Linked DNA regions of Macaca mulatta. The protein of the gene in region 3 purifies or fractionates together with the protein of the main gene of each other region. This does not show direct contact. Links are inferred from orthologs where the notes say so. Each region holds a gene or a part of one and is shown on either strand. Other genes may lie near its edges. The genes, in order: H3-4, IPO4, ASF1B, MMS22L, UBN1, CABIN1 and TLK1.

What was found.
Region 1: the proteins of ASF1B (region 3) and H3-4 purify together in Homo sapiens (affinity purification with western blotting; 3 studies listed by BioGRID, with this or other methods). This does not show direct contact. The link is inferred for Macaca mulatta from reciprocal best matches to the Homo sapiens genes ASF1B and H3-4.
Region 2: the proteins of ASF1B (region 3) and IPO4 purify together in Homo sapiens (affinity purification with mass spectrometry; 5 studies listed by BioGRID and IntAct, counting the BioPlex papers as one, with this or other methods). This does not show direct contact. The link is inferred for Macaca mulatta from reciprocal best matches to the Homo sapiens genes ASF1B and IPO4.
Region 4: the proteins of ASF1B (region 3) and MMS22L purify together in Homo sapiens (co-immunoprecipitation; 4 studies listed by BioGRID and IntAct, counting the BioPlex papers as one, with this or other methods). This does not show direct contact. The link is inferred for Macaca mulatta from reciprocal best matches to the Homo sapiens genes ASF1B and MMS22L.
Region 5: the proteins of ASF1B (region 3) and UBN1 purify together in Homo sapiens (affinity purification with mass spectrometry; 3 studies listed by BioGRID and IntAct, counting the BioPlex papers as one, with this or other methods). This does not show direct contact. The link is inferred for Macaca mulatta from reciprocal best matches to the Homo sapiens genes ASF1B and UBN1.
Region 6: the proteins of ASF1B (region 3) and CABIN1 purify together in Homo sapiens (affinity purification with mass spectrometry; 3 studies listed by BioGRID and IntAct, counting the BioPlex papers as one, with this or other methods). This does not show direct contact. The link is inferred for Macaca mulatta from reciprocal best matches to the Homo sapiens genes ASF1B and CABIN1.
Region 7: the proteins of ASF1B (region 3) and TLK1 purify together in Homo sapiens (co-immunoprecipitation; 3 studies listed by BioGRID and IntAct, counting the BioPlex papers as one, with this or other methods). This does not show direct contact. The link is inferred for Macaca mulatta from reciprocal best matches to the Homo sapiens genes ASF1B and TLK1.

Annotation. Positions count from the first base shown.
Region 1 is NC_133406.1:86,178,103-86,181,539, reverse strand, and holds H3-4 (histone H3.1), read left to right. Parts: upstream 1-1,268; 5' UTR 1,269-1,982; coding exon 1,983-2,393; 3' UTR 2,394-2,937; downstream 2,938-3,437. UniProt on the Homo sapiens protein: Core component of nucleosome. Nucleosomes wrap and compact DNA into chromatin, limiting DNA accessibility to the cellular machineries which require DNA as a template.
Region 2 is NC_133412.1:97,305,763-97,310,042, reverse strand, and holds the start of IPO4 (importin-4), read left to right. Parts: upstream 1-1,480; 5' UTR 1,481-1,509; coding exon 1,510-1,578; intron 1,579-1,659; coding exon 1,660-1,746; intron 1,747-1,874; coding exon 1,875-1,954; intron 1,955-2,040; coding exon 2,041-2,082; intron 2,083-2,499; coding exon 2,500-2,629; intron 2,630-2,716; coding exon 2,717-2,896; intron 2,897-3,144; coding exon 3,145-3,210; intron 3,211-3,311; coding exon 3,312-3,413; coding exon of another isoform or gene 3,414-3,424; intron 3,425-3,499; coding exon 3,500-3,583; intron 3,584-3,838; coding exon 3,839-4,003; intron 4,004-4,107; coding exon 4,108-4,161; intron 4,162-4,280. Other genes in the region: TM9SF1 (transmembrane 9 superfamily member 1 precursor), read left to right, coding at 489-882. UniProt on the Homo sapiens protein: Nuclear transport receptor that mediates nuclear import of proteins, such as histones, RPS3A, TNP2 and VDR. Serves as receptor for nuclear localization signals (NLS) in cargo substrates.
Region 3 is NC_133424.1:14,711,295-14,714,679, forward strand, and holds part of ASF1B (histone chaperone ASF1B), read right to left. Parts: exon of another isoform or gene 2,626-3,385; intron 2,086-2,625; coding exon 1,970-2,085; intron 1-1,969. UniProt on the Homo sapiens protein: Histone chaperone that facilitates histone deposition and histone exchange and removal during nucleosome assembly and disassembly. Cooperates with chromatin assembly factor 1 (CAF-1) to promote replication-dependent chromatin assembly.
Region 4 is NC_133409.1:88,588,266-88,592,475, forward strand, and holds the start of MMS22L (protein MMS22-like), read left to right. Parts: upstream 1-1,410; 5' UTR 1,411-1,572; intron 1,573-1,745; exon of another isoform or gene 1,746-2,098; 5' UTR 2,099-2,174; coding exon 2,175-2,338; intron 2,339-3,261; coding exon 3,262-3,387; intron 3,388-4,210. UniProt on the Homo sapiens protein: Component of the MMS22L-TONSL complex, a complex that promotes homologous recombination-mediated repair of double-strand breaks (DSBs) at stalled or collapsed replication forks.
Region 5 is NC_133425.1:6,139,999-6,143,498, reverse strand, and holds part of UBN1 (ubinuclein-1), read right to left. Parts: intron 3,361-3,500; coding exon 2,143-3,360; intron 730-2,142; coding exon 495-729; intron 222-494; coding exon 132-221; intron 1-131. UniProt on the Homo sapiens protein: Acts as a novel regulator of senescence. Involved in the formation of senescence-associated heterochromatin foci (SAHF), which represses expression of proliferation-promoting genes. Binds to proliferation-promoting genes.
Region 6 is NC_133415.1:28,349,091-28,352,590, forward strand, and holds part of CABIN1 (calcineurin-binding protein cabin-1), read left to right. Parts: coding exon 1-264; intron 265-1,397; coding exon 1,398-1,472; intron 1,473-3,500. UniProt on the Homo sapiens protein: May be required for replication-independent chromatin assembly. May serve as a negative regulator of T-cell receptor (TCR) signaling via inhibition of calcineurin. Inhibition of activated calcineurin is dependent on both PKC and calcium signals.
Region 7 is NC_133417.1:76,010,108-76,013,607, reverse strand, and holds part of TLK1 (serine/threonine-protein kinase tousled-like 1), read left to right. Parts: intron 1-844; coding exon 845-934; intron 935-2,175; coding exon 2,176-2,268; intron 2,269-3,500. UniProt on the Homo sapiens protein: Rapidly and transiently inhibited by phosphorylation following the generation of DNA double-stranded breaks during S-phase. This is cell cycle checkpoint and ATM-pathway dependent and appears to regulate processes involved in chromatin assembly.

The DNA.
Region 1 (3,437 bases), on a different chromosome or scaffold from region 3:
ACTCAGGTCAAAAAAACAAAAAAAGCACGGTGGCCCAGCATGGTGGCTCAAGCCTGTAATCCTAGCACTTTGGGAGGCCAAGGTCGGGGGATCAGTTGAACTCAGGAATTCAAGACCAGCTTGGTCAACATAATGACAGCCCATCTCTCCAAAAAATTTAAAAATTAGCTGGATGTGGTCCCAGCTACTTGGGAGGCTGAGGTAGGAGGGGCCTGGGCAACAGAGCAAGACTGAAAAAAGAAAGAGAGGAGGGGAGGGGAGGGAAGAAGATAAAAAGAAAGGAAAGGAAGGAAGGAAGAAAGGGAGCGAAGAAGGGAGGGAGGGAGAGAGAAAGGAAGGGAGGGAGGGAGAATGGAAGGAAGCAAGTATAGGGCCCACCTCTGCTTCTGGTGAGGGCCTCTGGCTGCTTCTGCTCATGGTGGAAGGTGAAGGGGAACCCATGTGTGTGCAGAGGTCACAGGACTGCACAAGAGAGGAAGCCAGAAAGAGAGGGGAGGGGAGTGCCAGGCTCTTTTCAACAACCAGCTCTTCAGGGAACCAACAGAGTGAGAACTCACCCTAAAGGAGGGCAGGACTCTATTCAGAGGGTGACACCTCCAGGACCCACACACCTCCCACTGAGCCCCGGCTCCAACTTTAGGGATCAAATTTCAGCTTCAGAGTTGGAGGAGATTTGGAAGCTTCCACCTTCTGGTCCTTGATGATAAGAACGTTCCCTTCCTTTTACTATAAGGAGAACATCTTTCATAGGGGAATTCTATTTCTTGCCTTTAAGAAACAACAAGAAATTCAGAATGATCTTCCTACACCTGCCTCTTTTTTTTTTTTTTTTTTTTTTTAAGTGCCTTTATCTCAAAAGAGTTAATATGCCAGAAAGGCATATCTTTACCTTCTTCAGCATCCTAAGGCTCATCTGAGCCATACAGCAAAGGGAGTTCTTTGCAGGTCATAAAAAGTGGAAGACTCCTTTAACTCTGGTTGGATCCCAGAGCTGTATCACTGTGTAAAAGTGGAATGCCGGCTGGGCGCGGTGGCTCACGCCTGTAATCCCAGCATTTTGGGAGGCTGAGGCAGGTGGATCACGAGGTCAGGAGATCGAGATCATCCTGGCTAACATGGTGAAACCCTGTCTCTACTAAAAATACAAAACAAAATTAGCCGGGTGTGGTGGTGGGCGCCTGTAGTCCCAGCTATTTGGGAGGCTGAGGCAGGAGAATTGCCTGAACCCTGGAGGCGGAGCTTGCAGTGAGCCGGGATTGCGCCACTGCACTCCAGCCTGGGTAACAGAGCGAGACTCCGTCTCAAAAAAAAAAAAAAAAAGTGGAATGCCAGCTGGGCCTGGTGGCTCATGCCTGTAATCCCAGCACTTTGGGAGGCCGAGGCAGGTGGATCACCTGAGGTCAGGAGTTTGAGACCAGCCTGGCCAATATGGTGAAAACCCATCTCTTTGTGGTGGATACCTGTAATCCCTGTAATCCCAGTTACTTGGTAGGCTGAGGCAGAAGAATCGCTTGAACCTGGGAGGTAGAGGTTGCAGTGAGCAGAGATCGCGCCATTGCACTCCAGCCTGGGCAACAAGAGTTAAACTCCATCTCAAAAAATTTTTTTAAAATTAATTTTTAAAAAAAGTGGAATGCCGCATGCTGGCTTTCGGAAGGCTCTTCCCACCCAAGTCATGAGGAAGGGAGAAGAGGATTGCTGAGGAGACACGAGGAAGCTTGTGCTGGAGAGAGATGATCTCCACCGCCGTGGCCTACCCGCATCAACCCTTCACAATGCTGGTGCTAGCTCTGGTGGCCACGACCAACAAGCACTAATATAAGGGAGAGGCGGCCGAGTGGCGTGCCCTGTGGACCAATCAGAGAGTAGGGGGCCATCACGCCACCTGAGGCCAGCCAATGAAAACGCGGCAAGCTCTATAAAAGCGGGCAATCAGCTTAGGTCTGGTCAGAGGACACAGCAGAGACAACAGTTTCAAATTCATGGCCCGAACCAAGCAGACTGCGCGCAAGTCGACGGGTGGCAAGGCGCCACGCAAGCAGCTGGCCACTAAGGTGGCTCGCAAGAGCGCACCCGCCACTGGCGGCGTGAAGAAGCCGCACCGCTACCGACCTGGCACAGTGGCGCTTCGCGAGATCCGCCGCTACCAGAAGTCCACTGAGCTGCTAATCCGCAAGCTGCCCTTCCAGCGGCTGGTGCGCGAGATCGCTCAGGACTTTAAGACCGACCTGCGCTTCCAGAGCTCGGCCGTGATGGCGCTGCAGGAGGCGTGCGAGTCTTACCTGGTTGGGCTGTTCGAGGACACCAACCTGTGTGCCATCCACGCCAAACGGGTCACCATCATGCCCAAGGACATCCAGCTGGCACGCCGTATCCGTGGGGAGCGGGCCTAGGAGGGCCATCTCGCCACCTGAGAGGTTGCGCAACGTTCACCCCAAAGGCTCTTTTAAGAGCCACCCACCTGGTCGGAAGAGTTGCTGTAGCAAGCCAGGCTCTTGGGTTTTGGGGGTTCCTTCCGCTGGCCGGTGCTGGCTTACCTAATTCTGATTAGGGTGGGAGGCTGGCGAATCCTGTGTTCACCCTGTCCAGTTAGGAGGCCAGCTACTCATGCGCGTTACCTCCCAGCCTGTCTCCAGTTACAAGTCCAGCTAGTCGTGTGTGGTGCTAACTTGGTCTATCCCTTTAGATAAGAATCATGGTTGGTCTGTTTGGGGACGGGGTGTTGAGGGTAGCGTAACTGGCCTATCTGCAGTTAGGTAAGCAACCCCAGCTAGTTGTGTCAACTCAGCCTATCTACAGTTAGGTTGGAAGGCTGGCTGGTCTTGTGTGTTCTCAGCTCAGCCTCTTTCAAACTGTTACAAGTCCTGCGTGTGTGTGTGTGTGTGTACACACAGCTTCTTTCCAGTGAGGTTACCAGTCCAGCTAGTCTCCTACCTAGACAGCCTGTTAAGGCCAGCAAGTAGTATGTGTTATCTTGGCCTATTTTCAGTTAGAAGTCCAGCTACTTCACCAGCGTGGCAGCTCAGGTCTGTAATCCCAGCACTTTGGGAGGCCAAGGCGGGTGGATCACCTGAGGTCAGGAGTTCCAGACCTGCCTGGCCAACATGGTGAAACCCCATCTCTACTAAAAAGACAAAAATTAGCCAGGTGTGGTGGCACATGCCCGTAATCCCAGCTACTTGGGAGGCTGAGGCAGGAGAACTGCTTGAACCCAGGAGACAGATGTTGCAGTGAGCCAAGATCATGCCACTGCACTCCAGCATGGGCAACAGAGCGAGACTCAGTCTCAAAACCAAAAAAAAAAAAAAAAAAAAAAACAAAGTCCAGCTACTTGTGTGTGTTAACTCAGCCTACCTCCTGTTAATTTAGAAAGCTGGCTAGTTGTATATCTTGTTAACTTGGGCTATCTCCCATTAGGTTAGAAGGCTGGCTAGGGG
Region 2 (4,280 bases), on a different chromosome or scaffold from region 3:
CAACCTGCTGATCCCTGGTTCAGTGGTACCATTCAGAGATCATTAAATGGTTCCTCCTATCTCCAAGCAGGACTGAGCTTGAATCAGTTCAGATATAAGAATGTCTCACTTATAAGGGCCTCCAGAGACATCTCCCCCTTCACCTTCCTGGTTTCTGACTTTAGTGTCTGTGGACATCATGTGGGGTTTAAAGCCCATTTGATGATCCATTTACTTTGTTGAATACCTCTTTGTGCCAGGCAAAGAATGAAGTGGAAAGTAAAATGGATAAGATCCCTGCCCTCAATCTATTAGGGAAGATATTCTTGAAGTGAGAGCAGCTAATCATAGGCAAAAAATCCCCATGAAGCCAGGAGATCTGGGGCAGAGAGTGGAGTGAACTCACTTTTCACAATGACCCAGCAACATGGGAGAGGGTGGGGGCTGGATTTCAGCCCAGCCACTGTGCACAGCCCTTTAATGCTGTGTATCATCTCTTTTCTTCACAGTGCCATCTCTGTAGAGCTGTACTACATCTTTGCCACAGTATGGGGTCGGGAGCAGTACACTTTGTACGGCATCCTCTTCTTTGTCTTCGCCATCCTGCTGAGTGTGGGGGCTTGCATCTCCATTGCACTCACCTACTTCCAGTTGTCTGGGGAGGATTACCGCTGGTGGTGGCGATCTGTGCTGAGTGTTGGCTCCACTGGCCTCTTCATCTTTCTCTACTCAGTTTTCTATTATGCCCGGCGCTCCAACATGTCTGGGGCAGTACAGACAGTAGAGTTCTTTGGCTACTCCTTACTCACTGGTTATGTCTTCTTCCTCATGCTGGGCACCATCTCCTTTTTTTCTTCCCTAAAGTTCATCCGGTATATCTATGTTAACCTCAAGATGGACTGAGTTCTGTGTGGCAGAAGTATTGCTGTTCTCTCCCTTTCTTCATGCCTCCTTGAGCTCTCCTACCAGCTTCTCTTCTGATTGACTGAATTGTGTGATGGCATTGTTGCCTTCCCCTTTGCCCTTTGGGCCTTCCTTCCCCAGAGAGGGCCTGGAAATTATAAATCTCTATTACATAAGGAGTATATATTTGAAATTTTTAAGTTGCCTTTAGTTTTGGTCCTGATTTTTCTTTTTACAATTATCAAAATAAAATTTGTTAAGAAAAAGGATCATGTAGTTGGAGGTTTTGGTCTGGATATAGGAACTCCAGCCCCGCGGTTAAGGGCACGGTCCTTTAGAAAGCCGAGCTGGCCACTGAATGCCCGAAGCTTGAGTTCTCCAACCCAACTTGGGAACTCCCGGCGTGGGGAACCTACATTGCCAGAGCTGGGTTTCCGCGACTCAGCCGGTGCTCAGCATAACGGAAGTGGAGGAGTCGGACCTCTTTGTGGGAAGTGAATTGAATCACCTTGGCAACCCTCGGGGCGTGTGGCAACGCCCTTTCCGCCGGAAGTGGGTGTCAGCGCCTCCACGTGCTGTCCCTCCCCCTCCCCTTTTCGGCCCAGTAGCGGCGGCTCAGCTGCTGCCATGGAGCCCGCCGGCCTGGAGCAGCTCCTACGGGAGCTGCTGCTGCCGGACACCGAGCGCATCCGTCGGGTACGGGAGTAGGCATAACCGGGCCAGGGCGAGCGGGAGGTTGCGGGAAAGACCCGACTCTCACCCCTAGCTTCCCCCCAGGCCACGGAACAGCTCCAGATCGCTCTTCGGGCCCCCGCCGCTTTGCCGGCTCTCTGCGACCTGCTGGCCTCGGCGGCCGACCCCCAGGTGAGACCCCTGACTCTCCCCTCCGAGCTTCCCACTGTACGCCACTGGTCAAGCCCCAATATCCGCCCCCTGCGGTCCGCTCAGCACCCTCCTGCCCGGACCCCCACGTGCTTGTTTCCTCGTCCTAGATCCGCCAGTTTGCGGCGGTGCTGACCCGCAGACGACTGAACACCCGCTGGCGACGGCTGGCGGCGGAGCAACGGGAGAGGTGGGTTGGGCCTGGGTTGGGGCGGGGCCAGGCGGAGACTTTTCTTGGGCAGTCTGTGTACCAAACACCTGCCCACTGTGTTCCAGCCTCAAGTCCCTGATCCTGACGGCCCTGCAGAGAGAAACAGAGTAAGTACCTACCCCCTTTTCTCGGGATCCTGACGACCTTGTCGGGGTTTCTGCCTTCCCTTTCAGTTCCAGGCTGGGACTTGTGGGGCAGGGACTTCAGTTCTAGACCCAAGGTGGAGCGAAAATTTTAAGGCTGTTTTGAAGACTGAAGTTCTTGAGGAAGGGTGACTATGATCTGCCAAACTCGAGTCAGAAGAATAAGACTGAAATTCAGGCTAGTAAGACTGAACTTACCAGATTACATGCCCGCAGTGCTGCTGGGCTCCCTCTGAGCTGCTGTCTCATGTGTCCCAACTTGGTAAAGACCCTGTGCCCACACCTCCTGAAAGTTTCTCTCCTGGCTGCCCCATTGTGCCTGGCCACTGTGTGCAGAGGAAGGTATTGGAGAGTGATAGAGGAGATCTCTCCTGTTTGCAGGCACTGTGTGAGCCTCAGCCTGGCCCAGCTTTCAGCCACCATTTTTCGAAAGGAAGGCCTGGAGGCCTGGCCACAGCTTTTGCAGCTTCTTCAGCACAGTACCCACAGCCCCCACAGCCCAGAGAGAGAGGTACCATCACATGGTTGGCAGGAGGGAGGGACTAAGAGGTGGGATAGACCATGTAAGCTTGCTCTCCAATCCTCTATTCTTGGACAGATGGGGCTTTTGCTGCTAAGTGTGGTGGTGACCTCCCGGCCCGAGGCCTTCCAACCCCACCACCGGGAGCTGCTTCGGCTTCTGAATGAGACTCTTGGTGAGGTGGGCTCTCCTGGGCTGCTCTTCTACTCCCTGCGCACTCTGACCACCATGGCCCCCTACCTCAGCACTGAAGACGTGGTGAGATGTGGGCCCTCGTATCTTTGACTCCCTTTCCTCAGGCCTTCATGTCCTCATCTGTAAAAGTTACAAAACTGCTTTGGATTCTTTACCTGCCTGTGGCCCTTCCTGACAATTGAGAGGGGATGCTGTAGGTGGGCCTGGCTATTATGTCTGGGCTCCTCCTCGCAATTCAGGCTATGAGGAAGCTGTCAGCTGCTGGGGTGTGAGATTAGGCTGCATCATGCTGTCTGTGATGTGTCCCTCAGCCTCTCGCTCGGATGTTGGTGCCCAAGCTGATCGTGGCTGTGCAGACTCTGATCCCCATAGATGAGGTGAGGACAGGTGGGCAGGAGCTCTGTTGGAAGAAGAGTGCAAAAGTGACCAGCTTGGCCCACTGAAGAAGAGCATGGTAACCTTGTGCCTTGTTTGTCAGGCAAAGGCCTGTGAGGCCCTTGAGGTTTTGGATGAACTGTTGGAGTCAGAGGTGCCCATCATCACCCCCTACCTCTCTGAGGTCCTCACATTCTGCCTGGAGGTGAGCCTGGAGTGGACATGGCCCCTGCTACATGCTCTGTTGGGACTTTCCTTCCCTGTCTCTGATTCTTATTATTCTCTGGACAGGTGGCTAGAAATGTGGCCCTGGGCAATGCGATACGCGTACGTGTTCTCTGCTGCCTCACTTTCTTGGTCAAAGTCAAGAGCAAGGTGAGTGAGTGCCCATTGACACACATCACCCCACCCACTCTCTACCCTTAGTCTCACTCCTGGGACTTTCGGTTCATCTCAGGGTATCTAAAGTACTGTGGGGGTTCAAGCCTTGGCCTAGCCTCACCCCAGCTCCTGCCTGGGAGATTGGGAATTTTCTGTCGGACCTTTTATGGCCTGGAAGACTGGAATTTTTAATGTGAGCCCATCCTGGGAGCAGATTCTTAGGGACACTGTTCCACCTTCTCTGTCAAGGCCTTACTGAAGAATCGTCTCCTGCCACCCTTGCTACACACCCTTTTCCCCATTATGGCTGCTGAGCCCCTGCCAGGCCAGTTGGATCCTGAGGACCAGGATTCAGAAGAGGAAGAGTTGGAGATTGAGCTGATGGGGGAGACTCCCAAGCATTTTGCTGTACAGGTGAGATGTGGGGCAGGACAGAGGGGGAAGGTGTTAGGTGGCTGTGGGAGGTTGGGGAGGCAGAGATGGAGTCGAGCAAAGTAAGTCTCCCCATCCTATCTTAGGTTGTGGACATGCTGGCGCTACACCTGCCCCCCGACAAGCTGTGTCCCCAGCTGGTAAGTGTGGCTCTGTCCTTCTGGTGTCCCTACCTCCAAGTGTGCCTAGTCCCCTGAGGCCAAGGACGTTTAGACCCTGGGAGGTGTGAAGGTCTATTTCCACAGGAATGGGCAGGCTC
Region 3 (3,385 bases):
CACCACACCCAGCTAATTATTTTGTATTTTTTAGTACAGACGGTGTTTCACCGTGTTAGCCAGGATGGTCTCCATCTCCTGACTTCATGATCCGCCCGCCTCGGCCTCCCCAAGTGCTGGGATTACAGGCGTGAGCCACCGCGCCCAGCCTACACCCAGCTAATTGTTTTTATTTTTTCTAGAGATGGGGGTCTTGCTATGTGGCCAGGCTGGCCTGGAACTCCTGGCCTTAAGCAATCCTCCTGCCTCTGCCTCCCAAAGTGCTGGAAGCCACCACACCCAGCCAGAATCTACATTTGACAACTCAGGCAGGGTGCTGCATGAGAGCCACTTAGGAGTTACGGTCTATCCTCATTCATTATTCATGGGATCCATATGTGCAAGTTCACCTACCTGCTACATTTATTTGTAACCCCAAGATGAATACCTGCGGTGCTTCCACGGTCACTTGCAGACATGCACAGAACAGGGAAAAGCTAGAGTTACCTACCACGCCTGTTCCTACCTGAGGTCAAACAAGGCAACGCTCTGTCTTTTGGTCTCAGTTCTTACTGTGAATGAGCATCCTTTCCTCAGCCTACTTAGTGCTACCTTTTTTCCATGTTTTGTGCTTTTTGTTGGTGAGTTTGCTGTCTATGATGGCACCCAAAGGTAGTGCTGAAGTGCAGTGTAGGGTGCAAAAAAGGCCTTATGGAAAAAATGTATATTAGAGAAGCTTCATTCAGGAGAGTTACAGTGCTGTTGGCTGTGAATTCAACATAAATGAACCACAGTATATATTAAATAAGGTGTCTTTTTTTTTCTTTTTTTTTGAGATAAGTCTCTCGCTATATCACACAGGCTGGAGTGTACCGGTGTGATCTCAGCTCACTGCAATCTCCACCTCCCGGGTTCAAGCGATTCTCCCACCACACCTGGCTAATTTCTGTATTTTTAGTATAGATACGGTTTCACCATGTTGGCCAGGCTGGTCTCGAACCCCTGACCTCAGGCGATCCACCCACCTCAGCCTCTCAAAGTGCTGGGATTATAGGTGTGTGCCACCATACCCGGCCTGGTGTCTTTCAACAGCAACACACATACAAGTTTACGTATTGACTGGCTGACGAAAACGTGACTTCCAACAATCTAACCTTGTATTTACCCTGGGGCAATGGTTCAGTACTCACTAAATCAGTGTTCGCGGCAACTTTATAGAACATAACTCTTGTGAATAACGAGAATTGACTGTAAATCAGTGGCAGCTTTGACACAGAGGTGGGGGAAGGGAGGGCCTGAGAGCCTCTGAGAGGTCAGATAGTTCCTGACAGTAGAACTAGGATTTGAACCTGAACTTTAAAATTTTTTTTTAATTGATTGATTGACACAGGGTCTCAACTCTTTTCTTTTCTTTTTTTTTTTTTGAGACAGAGTCTCACTGTATTACCCAGGCTGGAGTGCAACGGTGTGGTCTTGGCTCACTGTAGCTTCCACCTCCCAGGTTCAAGTGATCCTCCCATTTCAGCCTCCCAAGTGGCTGAGACTACAGGCGTACACCACTATGCTGTGCTGATTTTTAAGTTTTTTGTAGAGCTGGGGTCTCACTATATTGCCCAGGCTGGTCTCAAACTCCTGGCCTCAAGCAGTCCTGCCACCTTGGCCTCCCAAAGTGCTGGGATTACAGGTGTGAGCCACTGTACCCGGCCTCTGTTTTTTTAATACTTGTTTTTTCCTTTTTTTAGAGACAGGGTCTCACTGTGTTGTCTAGGCTGGAGTGCAGTGGCTCAATCATAGTTCACTGCAGGCTCGGACTCCTGGGCTCAAGCAATCCTCTCACCTCAGCCCCTGGAGTAGCTGGGTCTATAGGCGTGAGCCTCTGTGCCCAGCTGAACTTGAACTTTTGATTCCTGAAGCACTCTGTGGGATTTCAGGTAAAAGAAGATGTTTCTAGGAGTCAAGAGCTAAAGGCCTAAGGCCTCATCTTTCTTACCTGAAAGACAAACATGTGTCTCCCTGCTGGTACAGGGCCCACCAGCACCGAGTCTAGGATCTGATCAAACTCCTCACTCTCAGCGGAGCCAACATAAATGATCTTCCACTCCAGGTCTGCAAAGACATAGGAGGGTTAATGAATTGAAATAGCTCAACAGCAACAAGGCAGGGAAAGGCTCTTGTATTCATTTTTCTTTTTTTTTTTTTTTTTTTGAGACGGAGTCTCGCTCTGTCACCCAGGCTGGAGTGCAGTGGCTGGATCTCAGCTCACTGCAAGCTCCGCCTCCCGGGTTCACGCCATTCTCCTGCCTCAGCCTCCCGAGTAGCTGGGACTACAGGCGCCTGCCACCTCGCCCGGCTAAGTTTTTGTATTTTTAGTAGAGACGGGGTTTCACTGTGTTAGCCAGGATGGTCTCGATCTCCTGACCTCGTGATCCGCCCGTCTTGGCCTCCCAAAGTGCTGGGATTACAGGCTTGAGCCACCGCGCCCGGCCTCATTTTTCTTTTTTGAGATGGAGTCTCATTCTGTCATCCAGGCTAGAGTACAGTGATGCGATCTCGACTCACTGCAACCTCCGCCTCCCAGATTCAAGTGATTCTTGTACCTCGGCCTCCCGAGTGGCTGGGATTATAGGTGCCCGCTGCCACACCTAGCTAATTTTTTTTTTCTTTTTTGAGATGGAGTTTCACTCGTCACCCAGGCTGCAGTGCAATGGTGTGATCTTGGCTCACTACAATCTCTGCCTCCCAGGTTCAAGTGATTCTCCTGTCTCAGCCTCCCGAGTAGCTGTGATTATAGGCGCCTGCCACCATGCCTGGCTAATTTTTGTATTTTTAGTGAGAGGGTTTCACCATGTTGGTCAGGCTGGTTTAGAACTCCTGACCTCAGGTGATCCACCCGTCTTGGCCTCCCAAAATGCTGGGATGACAAGTGTGAGCCACTGTACCCGGCTTTTTTTTGTATTTTTAGTAGAGATGGGGTTTCACCATGTTGGCCAAGCTGGTATCCAACTCCTGACTTCAAGTGATCTGCCTGCCTCAGCCTTCCAAAGTGGTGGGATTACAGGTGTGAGCCACTGCGCCCAGCCACATCTTGTATTTTATTTTTACTATTTTTCAAGGCAGTCTCCCTCTGTTGCCCAGGCTGGAGTGCAGTGGTATGTTCATGGCTCACTGCAGCCTCAACCTCCTGGGCTCAAGCGATCCTCCTGCCTCGGACTCCCACCATGTTGGGAATACAGGTGTGGGCTGCTGTGCCCAGCCTTGTGGTAATTTTAAACAGAACCTTAAATATATTAGAAGATTCTTATTCCATCCATCTGACACTTAGTGCCAGGCAGTGCAGTCCTGAATGCTGAGGTGGGCACGAAGCTCTACCTCCATTAGGGAATTCTGTTTTGTAAGCCTAGCTATG
Region 4 (4,210 bases), on a different chromosome or scaffold from region 3:
TTGCCCAGGCTGGTCTGGAACTCCCAGTGTCAAGGGATCCACCCACCTCAGCCTCCCAAAGCCACTGTGCCTGCTCTGGCCTGGAGTTTTCTTGTAAGAAGTGGTGTGTGTGTGTGTGTGTGTGTGTGTGTGTGTGTGTGTGTGTGTGTGGAGAGAGAGAGAGAGAGAGAGAGAGAGAGAGAGAGAGAGAGAGAGAGAAGGGGGGAGGCTTAACCAAAGATTCTGAGTACTATGATAAATACAGAGATACTCAAATTTTCTTCTTGAGTTTTGAGTTTCTGTCTTTTAAGGAATTTGTCCATTTCACCTATGTTTATTGGTATAAAAATGTTCATAATGTTCTTTTAATATCCTTGTCCTTTTAATGACTAAATTTCATAGTGATGAAACCTTTTTAATTCCTGATACTGATAATGTGTTTATTTTATCAGTCTGGGTAGAGGGTTTATCAATTATATTGCTCTTTTTAAAAAACAACTTTTGGTTGCATTTATTTCCTTCCATTTATTTCAACTATTTATTATTTCATTCATTTTGCTTGTTTTGGTTTCAATATGCTGGTGGTTTTTTTCTAGTTACTTAAGACAAAAGTTTATTGAGTTGAGTTCTTTCTTCTTTTTAATGTAACCAGGTACTATTACAAATTTTAATGTTTTCGTTTTAATTGAAAGTATTTTCTAATTTTCCTGTGATTTTTCCTGATTCATAGGTTAGTCACAAGTATGATTCTTAATCTCCAAAATTAGAGTTTTTCAGTTATCTATTTTTTTATTTCTAGTTTAACGCCATTATGATCAGACTATATACTTTGTACGATTTAAGTCCTTTTAAAGTTGATGACGTTTGTTTTATGGCTCGGAATGTGGTCTCGCTTAGTGAATGTTTCATGTGCACTTGCCAAGAGTGTGTATTCTGCTATTGTTGGGTTGGTCACCTATAAACGTCAATTAGGTCAAGTCGGTTAATAGGGCTTTCCAAGTTTTCCATATCCATACTAACTTTCTGTCTACTTGTTCCATCAGTTACAGAGAAAATTTACTGTTGCACTTGCCTGCCTCACAGTCCGTGGACAAAAGGCATCCTGCATTCTAACAAGAGTTGCTGGCCCCAGAGCGGGAAGAGGGGACGGCGCGACTGTAGGTGTGAACCAGGCACTCACTTCGCACTCACTGGAGTAAATCTCTTCCCTTTAGCCAGAGGATAAACCCGTAGTCCTTAAATCCTCCTCTCCTCCGCCTCAGCAGCAGTTCCGTTTTTTTTTTTTTTACCAGGCCCCTCCTTCCAGTCGAACGCACCAATTAAAGGTACAAAAAAAAAAAAAAAAAAAAAAGTTTATCTGTACCTTGTCCCGGGTTGACTGACTCTCGCGAGAATTCGTGGAGCTCCGACTGTTTCCGCGCAGATATCGCGAGGCGATTGGTAGCCGGGGGAGGGCTGCGCCGTGGCCCCGCCTTTCCGGAGCGCGGGCGCGCGGTGGCGGGAATTTCGCTTGTTTGCGGTTTAGACCCCACAGATTCCTAGTGGTGGTATGGGTCACAGGAGGTAGATTTCGGAAGCTGGAAGTGTGAGCAGGTACGACAGGCACCTCGGGTAACCGACGCACCGGGTCCTTGTTGCAGCCGGGTGCGCGGGATACTGGCACCCAGCCTTCTCCGCCCGAGTGCTGCCGGGCATGGGCCTGGTGGGTCTCGCCTCCTTGAAGGGTTGAGGTTGGCTCTAGGGACTGGTTTCCTGGTTTCCACCCCGAGCCGGGGAGGGAGCGTTCTCCACCTTGCTGCTAGGAAACGGGCGGAGAGTGGTTTAGAAACCTTGCGGAGGGCGAAGTTCTAGGCGAGCCCGGGACGCTCTGTTCTGCAGACATTTCTTTGCTTTTCACCTTGTCCTGGGCTGCACAGTCCGACCTAGTGGGCTGATTTTGAAGTCCCTGCCACAGCCAGTTGGTTGTGCATTTTGTCTTAAGTTCTGGCAGCCTTGAGGGGCGGAGCGGCAGGGGAGGATTGGGAATTTGGCTTCTGGGTTTGTTCGTTTTTCCTTGCTGCTGGCGGACGTCCTGGGAACTTTCTGAAGTAACCCCCAGTCTCTCGGCCCCCACCTACAGGAATTTCTTCACACCTTCTCTTTGGAGCCCTTAATGATACGACGAACCCCAAACATTTCAGAACATGAAGTAAACAATGGAAAACTGTTCTGCCGCATCGACGTTCCTGACTGACAGTTTAGAGCTGGAGCTGGGCACAGAATGGTGCAAACCTCCTTACTTTTCTTGTGCTGTTGACAACAGAGGAGAAGGAAAACATTTTTCTGGAGAATCCTACCTTTGCAGCGGAGCCCTTAAGCGGTAGGTAAAGCTCAGAGACATTTTCCCTCATCTGATTATTCGCCAGTTTTTTAGGAATGTTAGTTACTTCAGCCCATTTAACTTGGGTGTTCACCAAATCATGTTGTATAAATCAGCTTAGTATATCATAAGGGTACAAATGATTATCAGTTCTGCTGCTGGCTTCTTGGTAAGGGCATATCTAAAGCATTTGGGGTATTAGGGAAAACTTCCTTGGTAACTGATGTGCCCTTACTGTAGGGAGCTGGGCGCTAATTTTTCTTTTACTTAAAGTGAATTCCTAACTGTCTGAGCCTTTTGAAATGGTATTTCCTTCTAAAGGGTGTGATAATATTCTAGAGCTTTCCAGTAATTTTTAAGAAAGACAAACATTTTTTTTATTGCCCCGTTCCTTTTAATTCTACCTATTTTGCTTCGGGCAGGTACATACATATTACAGTAAAACTGCTGTTCTTGAAATATTTTGGTAATACCTGCTGAGGCAGTTTCAGTCAGGAAACTGTTTTTGTTGACTTTATAGTTGTACGTTGTGAGAGACCTTAAATAGAATACCCAACTTCATTAATTGGATACTGTTCTCCAGATAAGGCTCAGAGTAACTGTTAGCAGTTTCAACAATTAAATGTCCCCTCGGAGGATAAAATTCTACAACTGAAGACTACTGGTGAAGACAGGCAGAAATATGTGTTTTAGAACCCGTGTTGATTTTTCCTCTTAATTTACATTACACTTTAGTTGTACATTTTATCAATATAGAAGATTGACATTTTAATACAGTCTAGCTATTGTAATCTTGAATGTGTAAAGTACCAAGGCATTTTCTGACTTTTTATACATGTCATGTATAATATGGATTCAAATAATGTAAAGGTATGGTACTTAGTTTACTTTTTAATGGGATTAAAACATAATTTTCATTTCAGATTGATTTTGAATCTTGATCCTTTACCAACTAATTTTGAAGAAGACACCTTAGAAATATTTGGCATTCAGTGGGTTACTGAAACAGCATTAGTGAATTCATCTAGAGAGCTCTTTCATTTATTCAGGTATTTCTTCGTTTTAACTTTCTGTGAGTGTAGGTGTTGTTCACTTGTGTAAATTACATTGTTGGGTGGCTTCTAATACTGATACTGCAAAAGACCAGGAGAATTGTGCAGGTTGCTCACTTGATTATCTTACCAGTAACGGTAATCAAGCAGCAACACCTGATGAATAATGGTTTTAATGAGTTGTGTTTTATTTTCAGAATCTTTATTCTTTGCATTTGACTTCATGTATTGACAAATATTTAAGGCTTTGAACTATGATTTTGGAAGAAAATTAAAATACTTTTGTTGTTCAATAGCCATAGTGTTTCAGTGATCTTTAGAGTATGATCTTTCCAAATAAATAGTTTAGATTGTGTAATAGAAATATTAATTCTCTATTTGGACAACATTAAAAATTTTTTTAATGAAAAAATTTAAGCATACACAAAATAATATAATGAACATCCATATACCCTCCTTCAGTTGCAGTAAACAACAACTTTTTATTACATTTCCTTCATATGTCTTGTCTCCTCTTCTTTTGATTCTTTTGACTGACTTGTAAGCAAATCCTAGGTATCATGTCATTTCACCCATAAATACTTGAGTATGAATTTCTTAAAAATATGGGCTTTTTAAAAACGATGAGGACAGCTAGGCACGGTGGCTCATGCTTGTAATCCCAGCACTTTGGGAGGCCGAGGCGGGCAGACCACGAGGTTGGGAGTTTGAGACCAGCCTGACCAACATGGTGAAACCCCTTCCTACTAAAAATACAAAAATTACCTGGGCGTTGTGGTGCGCGCCTGTAGTCCCAGCTACTCGGGAGGCTGAGGCAGGA
Region 5 (3,500 bases), on a different chromosome or scaffold from region 3:
GCCTCAAAGGACAAACCAAAACAACAGCGACAAGGCAAAGACACCAAGACTCTTGGCAGTGGCAAAGCACCCAGGGGTGGAGAGGGCGAAGGCACATGGTGCACATGGCACACTGACCGTCGGGTGATTACCTGGCAGACTCTGCGGGATATGGGTGGGCACGGCAGCGTGTGGGAGAGGCGCTGCATGGGGCGGGCTGGAGTGCAAGCCAGCCAGAAGACCTGAGAGAAAACAGGAGGGGAGAAAAGAACAAAACACACACATTGAAGACAGGCACGGAAAAGCAGCTCCAGCAGGCAAGAGCCCCTGACAACCTGCCAGGCCAGTCTGGGCACCACACCCAAAGGGGCAGTGGGGGCTCAGCACAGTTCCCGGAGATGTTCCCCACAGTCACACACCAGACTCAAACAAAGGAACCAGAGTACATGACAGCAGGACCCCTGGCCACAATCTAGAGGTTCCCAAGTGACCAGAGGCAGCAAAGAAGCACTTACTGTGGCCAAGGCCATGGTGGAAGGGCCCAGGGGCAGGGCCTGTGACGATGGCATCCTTGGAGACCCCTGCTTTGGCAGAGGAGTCAGCGCTGAAGGAGAGCACATGGACAGGAATAGGGGTTATAATTCCCACGGTGTTCGAGCTCATGGCCCCAGACAGTTTTGGGCTGCTGGATTTGTAGGGTGAAGCCATCAAAGAGGAGCCAGTCAGCATCACAGTCCCACTCGCTCCTTTCTAGGGAAGAAACACAGCAAGAGGTAAGAACTCCAGTCCTGTTCATGGCTGACTCACACCAAACCTGGCAACACAAAGGAGGACACACACATCCATGTCAGCTGGCCCTCGGAGGCACCCTCCGACCCTGCAGCCCCAAAGACAGGACCCAGGACAGTCTTTATGAACCAACATGGAATGGATTCCAGGCAACATAATTTTTTAAAAAGCAGGATATTCAATATGTCTCCTACAGAGGTTGCAGTGAGCTGTGATCACGCTACTGCAGTCCAGCCTAGGTGACACAGCCAGACTGTGTCTCAAAAAAAAAACAAAAGCCTCCTTTGTGAAGGGAAAAATGTAATATACATATCCATAAATGTTCATGTGTATGTGTATATATATTTATGCACATACACATACATACATATATATATATATATATACCTTTGTATATATTTATTAATCTTTTGTTTAAAAAGAAAATAAACCAAAAACTAAAAAGCTTAGTTACCTTACAGGGGTGGTGGGTGCAGGAAAGGAGGTGAGACCTCCAACAGACCTTTCTATGATTTTGTCTTTGCAACCACTTCATTTATATATTAAAAAAACAGGCCGGGCGTGGTGGCTCACGCCTGTAATCCCAGCACTTGGGAGGCCGAGGCAGGCAGATCATGAGGTCAGGAGATTGAGACCATCCTGGCTAACACAGTGAAATCCCGTCTCTGCTAAAAATACAAAAGATTAGCGGGGCGCAGTGATAGGCTCCTGTAGTCCCAGCTACTCGGGAGGCTGAGGTAGGTGAATGACGTGAACCCCAGGAGGCGGCGCTTGCAGTTGAGCTGAGACAGCGCCACTGCAGTCCAGCCTGGGTGACAGAGCAAGACTCCATCTCAAAAAAAAAAAAAAAGAAAAGAAAAGAAAAAGAAAAAGAAAAAAAAAAATGCTCATTCCCTCTTCCCGAACCTGCTAAATTACTGGACTCTGTCCTTCAAAAATCAACAGAATCACTCTTAGAAGGTCCTGCTATTCCTGGTCCATGAACACCCCCACATGACTCCACTGAGAGAAGACTGCACCTCCATCGGCCTTGTTTAGAGAGACGGAGAGGCAAGGGGTCACAGAAGGCGAGTGCTGTGGCTCATTCTGTGCCACACAGACCCAGCCTCTGAAGAGGCATGGTGCTGGCTGTCTTTTAGCTCCCTTTGCCCTCTTCAGAAGAAGCTTTAGGCCATCCTGGGCTTCCTGTCACCAGAAAAGTGAATACCTGAGAACAGGGAGCCCAGTCTCCCGTCTCCCTTCCTACGTCTGAGCCCACTGTTCCTACCTGACCTGTGGTTTTAGATCTCTCTCTCCACCCGGGGCAAGGCAAGCAACCTCATCCCCAAGGCCCCTGTGAGTGGGGCAGGGCAGGCTGCTATGCCGGATACTCACTGACAAGGAGGTAGACGATGTCACACCACTGACTGAAGAAGGTACGGGCGCGGTCAGCAACTTTGCCACTCCCTGGGTCCCTCCACTGGAATCTCCGTTTGGACCGCCTGGAGGCGCTACCAGGGTCAACTTCTGGGAAACAGGCATTTTTTTCCCTGTTGAGCTTGGGACGGGTCGGCTGGTGGCCTGTCCCACGGAGGGAGGCTGTATGCCAGGGACCAGGCTCCCAGAAGCAGAACTCTGGACTGGTGTTCCTCCCGAGGAAGAGCTGCCAGAAGAAACCCCATGTTTGGAGACAGAGCTGGCAAAGGGATTATTCTTGTAAGATGAGCCTGCAGAACTGACTGAGTGTGGCTTTGCTGGATGGCTCAGGGCAGAAGAGGACGAGGCTGGGGTCTTGTGAGAGCTGCTGCTGGAGGCTGGCAGGCCTCCTGAGGTGGCTGGGGCAGAGGGATGGAAGCCCTGGCCTTTGGCCGCTGTCTTCACTAACTGCAGGAAGGAACGATGACACTGTGGGGGAGAAGCCTTTGGGCCTTGGAGCTTATTGGCAAACGGAGATGGGGGCGTGAAGTTTTTCTGTTGCTGAGTGCCGGCATGAAAGACTTTGACCTGGGGGCCAGGCACGGGAACTGCCACTTGGGGCACGTGAGACGTCCGTGGCAAGCTGTGGTGCTTTGCTTTGGACTGATGTACTTCTGGCAGGCCCTTATTGAGGGGAGCCTGGCAGGACAGCTCTTTGTAGCCAGAACTCTCTGGTTTTTTCTCCTGAGAGGACTGCCCCAGTGCCAGAGCCTGTTCTGCCAGAAAATTGAGGGGTGACTGCAGAGAGCTAGCTGGTGGTGGAGCAGAAGGACTGGGCTTCACAAAGTTCCTTTTTTCTTCTGCACATAAAACACCTCCAACTTTTTCTGCAGGTGCTTTTGAGGGTGCAGGCAGTGTGAATTCAGAGTTCCCAGCTGCTCTGCTATTCAATGCAGCCAATTCCTTGGACACAGCTTCCACAGAGGAGGCTGGATTGCGGATCAACTCTTCATCCAACGAGTCCTCCACGTTGACAGGAGGAGGGTTAGCAAGGCCGCCCGATGCCTGGGATGGGAGCTCCCTGCTCGAGGCCCCAATACTCAGGCCTCCTGTCTGGTGATCTGAGGGCAAAGCAATGGGGCCACCAACCTGTCCTGATGGGACAGAAACCTTTTTATCAGGCTTCGTAGACGATTCCTAAAGGAAAACAGAAATGCTGATGTTTAGAAAGGTCCAAAGATGTCAACATTGGCCTGTGGTGAGGATATAAACGTGAACTTGAGGCGCAAAAAACTAGGTCTTCCTGTATAATTACAAAACAAGCGGTAGGAGAGAGC
Region 6 (3,500 bases), on a different chromosome or scaffold from region 3:
AGTGCCCGGCAGCAGCCCACCCCGCTCACCCCAGCCCAGCCAGCCCCCGCCCCTGCCACCACCATAGGGACCAGGGCAGGGGGCCACCCCGAGGAGCCGCTCCCCCGGCTCAGCCGCAAGAGGAAGCTCCTGGAGGACACGGAGTCAGGCAAGACACTTCTACTGGATGCCTACCGTGTGTGGCAGCAGGGCCAGAAGGGTGTGGCCTACGACCTTGGCCGTGTGGAGAGGATCATGTCGGAGACCTACATGCTCATCAAGCAGGTGGGCGGCGGGCAGAGGCCTGGGGGCACTTGTGTGCTGGTAGCATCCCCACTCTTGCCTTTCTATTCTCAAGGAGGGTCTCCCGGGCCTGCCCTTGAGCTGGGTTTTAGGTGTTCTTCCCACCCCATTCCCCACTGTTTACATTCTGCAATGAGCTTTAAAAAGTTGATATTCAGCCTGGAAGGAAGTGAGAGCCTATCTCAGAAACCTTATCACAACCAGCGCAGGGAGTCTGGACCGCTGCTCCCACCGCTGTTACGGGCCTCTGGGCGCATCTTAGGGCATTTCCTTCAAGACTTCTGTGGCTGTCATCTAAAGATGGCTGCAGTGACCAGAGATCCCCTTCTCATTTTGCCTTCTTTTTTAAAACATTTTATTTTAATATATCAAGCACTTTCCTTTTTCTCCGTTTAAAATTATTCCCATAGGAAGAATCTCCAAAACTTTAGTGACTGGCTCAGATGGGATGACCATCCCTGACATACAGTATTCCCTCTAATCATGTCAGTTTGCAATGCACCCCAGCCCCAACTGCCCCATATCATATGGACCTTGGGCACTGAATCTCCAGACACACTTGACACAGCATGGGGCGATCTCCATCAGGCCTGGGATTCTAAAAGGCCTCTCCCACTCTAATCATGGCCCTCTATCCTGCCCACTTACGGGGCAGGTTTTAGCTCAGAAGACTCCCCTCATCCCCTAGCAGCTGAGCCTCAGCTGAATTTGAAGGCTTGGTTGGAGCCCTGAGTCTGCCTGCCAGCTTCAGCTTGTGAGGATGTAAGTAACTCAGCCATAGAAATGAGCTTGGTATAGCCAGATGGGCTCAGAGGAACGGCTGGGTCTAGTCCTGGCACCAGTACCTGGTGCTGTGGCACCTGAACAGGCACCCCCACCTGGAAGATGGATGGGCACCTGCCCCTGCTACCCATGAAGAGCTGGGAGGTAGGGGTCCGGGTGTGGACAGCAGTGGGGACAACTGGCTCTTCAGTGGAGTCTGGGGTGGTGGGGGGCACCCGAGCCACAGGGCATGCCCCCTACCTAGGCTGGTCCGTGCTACATACACAGACAGGGCTGGGGGAGGCTCACCACAATGGCCTGGGCCCCCTGACCTCCGGCATCTCGCTGTTAAGGTGGATGAGGAGGCTGCGCTGGAGCAGGCTGTGAAGTTCTGCCAGGTCCATCTTGGGGCTGCCGCCCAGAGACAGGTAAGCCCAATTTAGCCTGTGCCAGCCTCATCTTGCGGAGCCTGCTCCATGTCAAGGCCCTAGGATGCAGGCTGAGAAATAGTTCCACTTTTGGGACTGTTATTGTGGTGGTCAGCTTGGGCCAAGGGGAGATGAGCAGGGGTCAGCTGAGCCTCCAGCCCATGGCCATGGTGGGCGGGAACTTGACAGGGCCTAGACCCCAGTTCAGACATGCCGAGGGGTCTCCTCACCTCAGCCACCTTTTCTCTATCAAGGAGGATGACCCCTAGCCAGCTGACCTCACCTGGGAAGGTCATTCCTTCTGGGACAGTAGTAGAAGAAACAATGTTAGAGCCAGGCTGGTTAGGAGCCAGGTGGCTGGGTAAAGGTGGAGATGCAGCCTACACAGGGACCCCCCCCTCCATGAGGGGAGGGCATGTAGGGAGCAAGGTGTCCTAAGAGAGGGTAGGCAGGAGTCCTGGAGTTTATTAAGCAGGGAGAAAGCAAGGCAGCCACGCTCCTAAGTGGGGAAGAAGGGGTTGGTTCAGGGGCCAGGCCAGGGCTGGGGCAGGGTCCAAGATATGGCAGAGAGTAGGGAGTGGGGGAGGCCCCTCCTGGGAGGACCCCAAGCCAGGGTTGAGATTGGGTTTGTGTTGAGTCTGAGACTCTTTTAAGAGAGAGAGGCCAAGTGGTCAGGAAGGTCAGGGGCCCCCACCTGGAGGGGCAGTCCAGGCCAGAGACCTGGGGTAAGTGCCCCTGAAGCCATCAGAGGCCAGAAGAGGACACAGGCAGGGCCAAGGACCTTGGCCAGGTCACAGGCACAGAGAAGAGACTTGGGCAGGACAGGGAAGTAGCCAGGAAGGAGAGTGTTCCCAGGGGCCAGCTGGTCAGCAATGCCAGGGCAGTGAGGATGGGGGCCTGATGGATATGGGAACCCAGGGGCCAGGGCTATTTTTGAGAAGTGATGAGGCTGGAAAGGGCTTGAGCAGGAGCAGGTAAGGTGCTGGGTCTGGAGGAGAGAAGTCTCCATGGGAGAAGTCCAGCTTGAAGCCAGTGGGCAGGGTCTGGCTATGAGTTGGGGTGGGGTCTCCACGACCGAAGAAGTGGGAGGGATGGGATCAGATCTCAGTGAGAGGATGAGGCAGGGAGGGGCAGACATGGCAGGCAGAGAGAGCAGGTGTGCTCTGTCTAAAACATAAGCCTCCAAGCCAGAGGTTTGGTGGCATGCCATTTGAGTAGGTGCAGCCTCTTGTCCCCAGGGGTGGCCCGATGCCCCGGGTAGCATCACCCCAGGTCCCTTTGTTCCAGGTCCCCTAGCAGAGGGTTGGTAGCTGCCTTTTGGGTCCAGACAGGCTTCCTCTCAGTGGAATGGGGCCTCAGGCCCCCACCACCTGCCTGGGCTGTTACGTCAGCGGAAGCCTGGGAGGTTCAGCTTTGACCAAGCAGGCTGTGGGCCAGACAGGGCATGCTGTGGGGAGTAGGTGGGCCTGGTCCCCAGCTAAGGGCCAGAGTCCTTGGCAGGGAGTGCCCCAAACCCCAGCAGTCCCCACCATTTCATTGTCCAGCTGGGCAGAGTGCATAGCACAGCTGCCTGGGCCCCAGTGCTGGGCCCAGGCCCAGGTCCACCAGGGTGCCGTGCCTCCTCCACTGGCCCAGGTGAAGCAGGTGGACATGTGAGTGGTGACCACTCAGGAGACAGGAGAGCTGTTTCTGCTTTTGATGTCCTTAAAAAATAGATCCACACAGGAAACCCCCCCACAACCCCACACCATAGTGTGAGAAGAAAGGGGTGCTGAGCTGGCAGGAGTCAGGGCAGGGCCAGACCCCATTTTGCCAAGGACATGCATATCAGGGCCCCTGAGGGCTGGGTGGGCAGAAGTTTCCGTCAGAGACCTTGGAAGATACAGCCTGGGTTATGGGGGTGGCCAGAGCAAGGGGACCCAGGTCCTTACCTTTCAGGTTACCTGCTGCTGGGCGACGCCAGGCCAGGCCCCAGCAGTCCCCTCCCAGGGTGTGGAGGAGAGTGGTGGGGAGGAGGCCCTAATGACC
Region 7 (3,500 bases), on a different chromosome or scaffold from region 3:
GATAAAGAATCACGGACTTAAAATTATCTTAAACTTTTTGGTTTATTGCTAACGTTTTAGATATAGTTCTTTTATATGCATTGTTTTGCATATTGGATTTCATTTTTAAATTTACTTTCATTGTGTGAAAGTTCAGTATCTAACTAGGAAAACAATATTGGTTTTCAGTAATTTAAAGAATCAGAGTTTCACTTATTTATTCAAGCACCTTGTTTTTATTTCTTGTGTCCCCTTCTTGTCTTTGTCTTTAGACATACTTGGTTGTGTCTTACTCATTTTGTACCTTTGAGGATATCACATTGCTGTGTATAAAGTAAGGCATAAGATTCAACAGTAACTTTAAGAGTTGTAGTGATAGCATTGATACAATGTTATAATCTGCTTTCAGTGAGTGTATTTTTGAACTAGTGACCAGATAAACTATGAAATTCATTAATAAATTGATATTAAACTACATAAGGGCATGTATTATTGTCCCTAGTACTAAGTTTGTTTTTTGAACTATCCTAATAAATTTTTAATATTTTCCAGAATAATTTATTTGGCCTTTTTTTTTTTTTTTTTTTTAAACAGTACGAAAGCATTAAGATTTCTTTTATAGCACTAGAATGTAAGCTCCATGAGGGCAGGGAATATATTGTATTTCTCACTGGGTCTTATGTAGGAGGTACTTAATGAATGCTTGTTGAATAAATGGTGATTAAAGTTTTCTAAAAGTCACTTATGTTTCAATGTAGGTATTATTCTGATAGAAACTTCTGCAGAAATGTTAAGTAATTGTTGCTAATTAGAAACCTGTTTTTTTTTTTTTTTGCTAATATAAAATTTTTAATAATTTTTTTAGGTTCGACCGAATAGCCCTTCTCCTACTGCATTAGCATTTGGGGACCACCCTATTATACAACCAAAGCAGTTATCCTTTAAAATTATTCAGGTAAATGATAATTAAAATGTTTTTTTCCCATGGCTTCTAAGAAACCATTGACTAACTTACTAACAACTGAGATGTCTGTTTGTTTTATATGTAGTCATAAAGCAGAATTACACATCGAGAAAGATAACAGTAATTACTAAACAAAAACAACGGAATTTGTAGGAAGGAGTGAGAAACTGAAACACAATTTACTATCAGCTTTTTAAACAACCATAACATGTCACTTCTGTTTACTGATTCTTTCTGAACTTAATTTCCAAGTATATGTAATTGATATATTGTGAAACTGCTGTATTTTTTGTAAGTGTACATTAAAGCCGCTCATTTGACTGTATGTATGTAAATACATATATGTGACAAACTATAAAAATTATTTGAATTATTTGTATATTTTCTACACTTACTTAGTTTCATGAATTTTGAGCACTAAGTTCTTCATTTTAATTTTTTACGTGTGGTAGTTTCTGAATGGCACTTTCTCAGACTGGGGTTTGGAAGAGTAGAGTAAATATTACTCTTCAACCTCAGCTTGCCAGTTTATTTCCATTAGATTTTATTTGTGAGGTCATATCCAAACTGTTGTGCATGTATCAAAACCTCTTTCTTTGGATGATCCTGAGGCTAGGATTACAAGTACATTCCTTCATCCACTGAGTAGATCATGAAAGGTTTTGCTGCATGAGATGTTGGTCAAAGGACATAAAATTTTAGTTAGAAAGAATAAGTTCAAGGGAACTATTATACATCATGGGGGCTACAGTTAAAAACAGTATTTTGTGTATATGAAAATTGCTAAGAGAGTAGATTTTAAGTGTTCACACCACGAAAAAAAGATATGTGTTAAATAACTTGATTTAGCCATTCCACAATGTAAACATATATCAAAACATTGTGTTGTATACCATAAATAGATAGGTTTTTACTTATCAATTTAAAACAGGTTTTGCAAAATTCAAAAAAATCAGCTAGAGGAACGTATAGCACAAAGCAGCGGATATATTGAATTGTAATGTGGGACATCAATATTCTAAGTAATTGACCTTTCTAGATGTTTCTTGGTAAGTCTGTAGCGTTTATACATTTGAAGTTATTAAAACTGCACTAAAACTTTTTGAGATTCACTTTACATATGCACACAAATATATTTTTCTTTACCTTTTGAATTTGGAGTAAAGTCTGGTTTTGTGTTTGCTTGAAACAACATATATAATGGAGATAATAAAATAACTTTTTTCATTTAGACTGATCTCACAATGCTGAAATTAGCAGCATTAGAAAGTAATAAAATCCAGGACCTGGAAAAGAAGGAGGGACGTATAGATGATTTGCTCAGGGTAAGTAATGAGTCATAGAGGGGAAAAAATTGAATAAATTATTTGGCAACAGTCAAACTGTTCAGAAAATACTTAGCATTGCAAAAAAAAAATCTGTAGCTAGGCTGGGCGCGGTGGCTTATGCCTGTAATCCCAGCACTTTGGGAGGTCGAGGTGGGCAGATCACAAGGTCAAGAGATCGAGAGCATCCTGGCCAACATGGTGAAACCCCGTCTCTACTAAAAATACAAAAATTAGCTGGGCGTGGTGGCGCACGCCTGTAGTCCCAGCTACTCGGGAGGCTGAGGCAAGAGAATCGCTTGAACCTGGGGGGTGGAGGTTGCAGTGAGTTGAGATCGCACCACTGCACTCCTGCCTGGCGACAGAGTGAGACTGTCTCAGAAAAAAAAAATACTGTAACTAGAACTCAGTAAGCTTTTTCTGTTAATTTAAGTACGTGATTGAAAATACCAATTTTAAAGTGAAATATTTTATTAGATCTTCAGTAAATTGGGAATTGAGAAACTGTTGGAGAACTGGAAGGAAGTTAATAACATTTATGTGACCAACAACCGTAACACAAATAGCCATTTCATGTTAAAGTTTTTGATTTTACTATATGCCTGACATCTGATACCGATAGGATGAAGTAACTGCTGCAGTTCTGAAGGATTTTTAATGGAAGCTTTATTTAAAAATACATCTAGAAGTATACTTATAATGTAAGGGTTTAAAGCAGCAGTTCTTACCCTTGATGCTCCTTAGACTCACCAGTTGGGAAGGGTGAAAGAACTAATGCCTGAACTCTACCCTGAGAGGTTCTGATCAAGTTGATGACATGATGTGGGCTTGGACATTGGTAGTTTTAAAGGCTCTCCTGGATAATTCTAATGTAAGCCAGAATTGAGAACTACTGGTATAGAAACTCAATAAAACCAACACCTGTGATCCTACTGTGTTTGTCAGTACCTTTAAAACATCCAGTGTGTCTTTTTCCTGATCCTGTCATACTTACTTTCTCACATCCATTTACCATTTAACCACTATTTTAAATTTTGTGTTTGTCATGCCTTGGTGTTTCTTTATGGTTGTATTAAATATGTGCTTACATTCTTAACAATATATTATTTCATTTGGTTTTTGAACGTTAAATGAAATTTTCCGGTATGGACCCTTTTGCCCAGCTTGTTTTCACTGAATGTTATATATCATAGAGTCGTCCACTTTGATGAGTATAACTGTAGTTTGTTCAT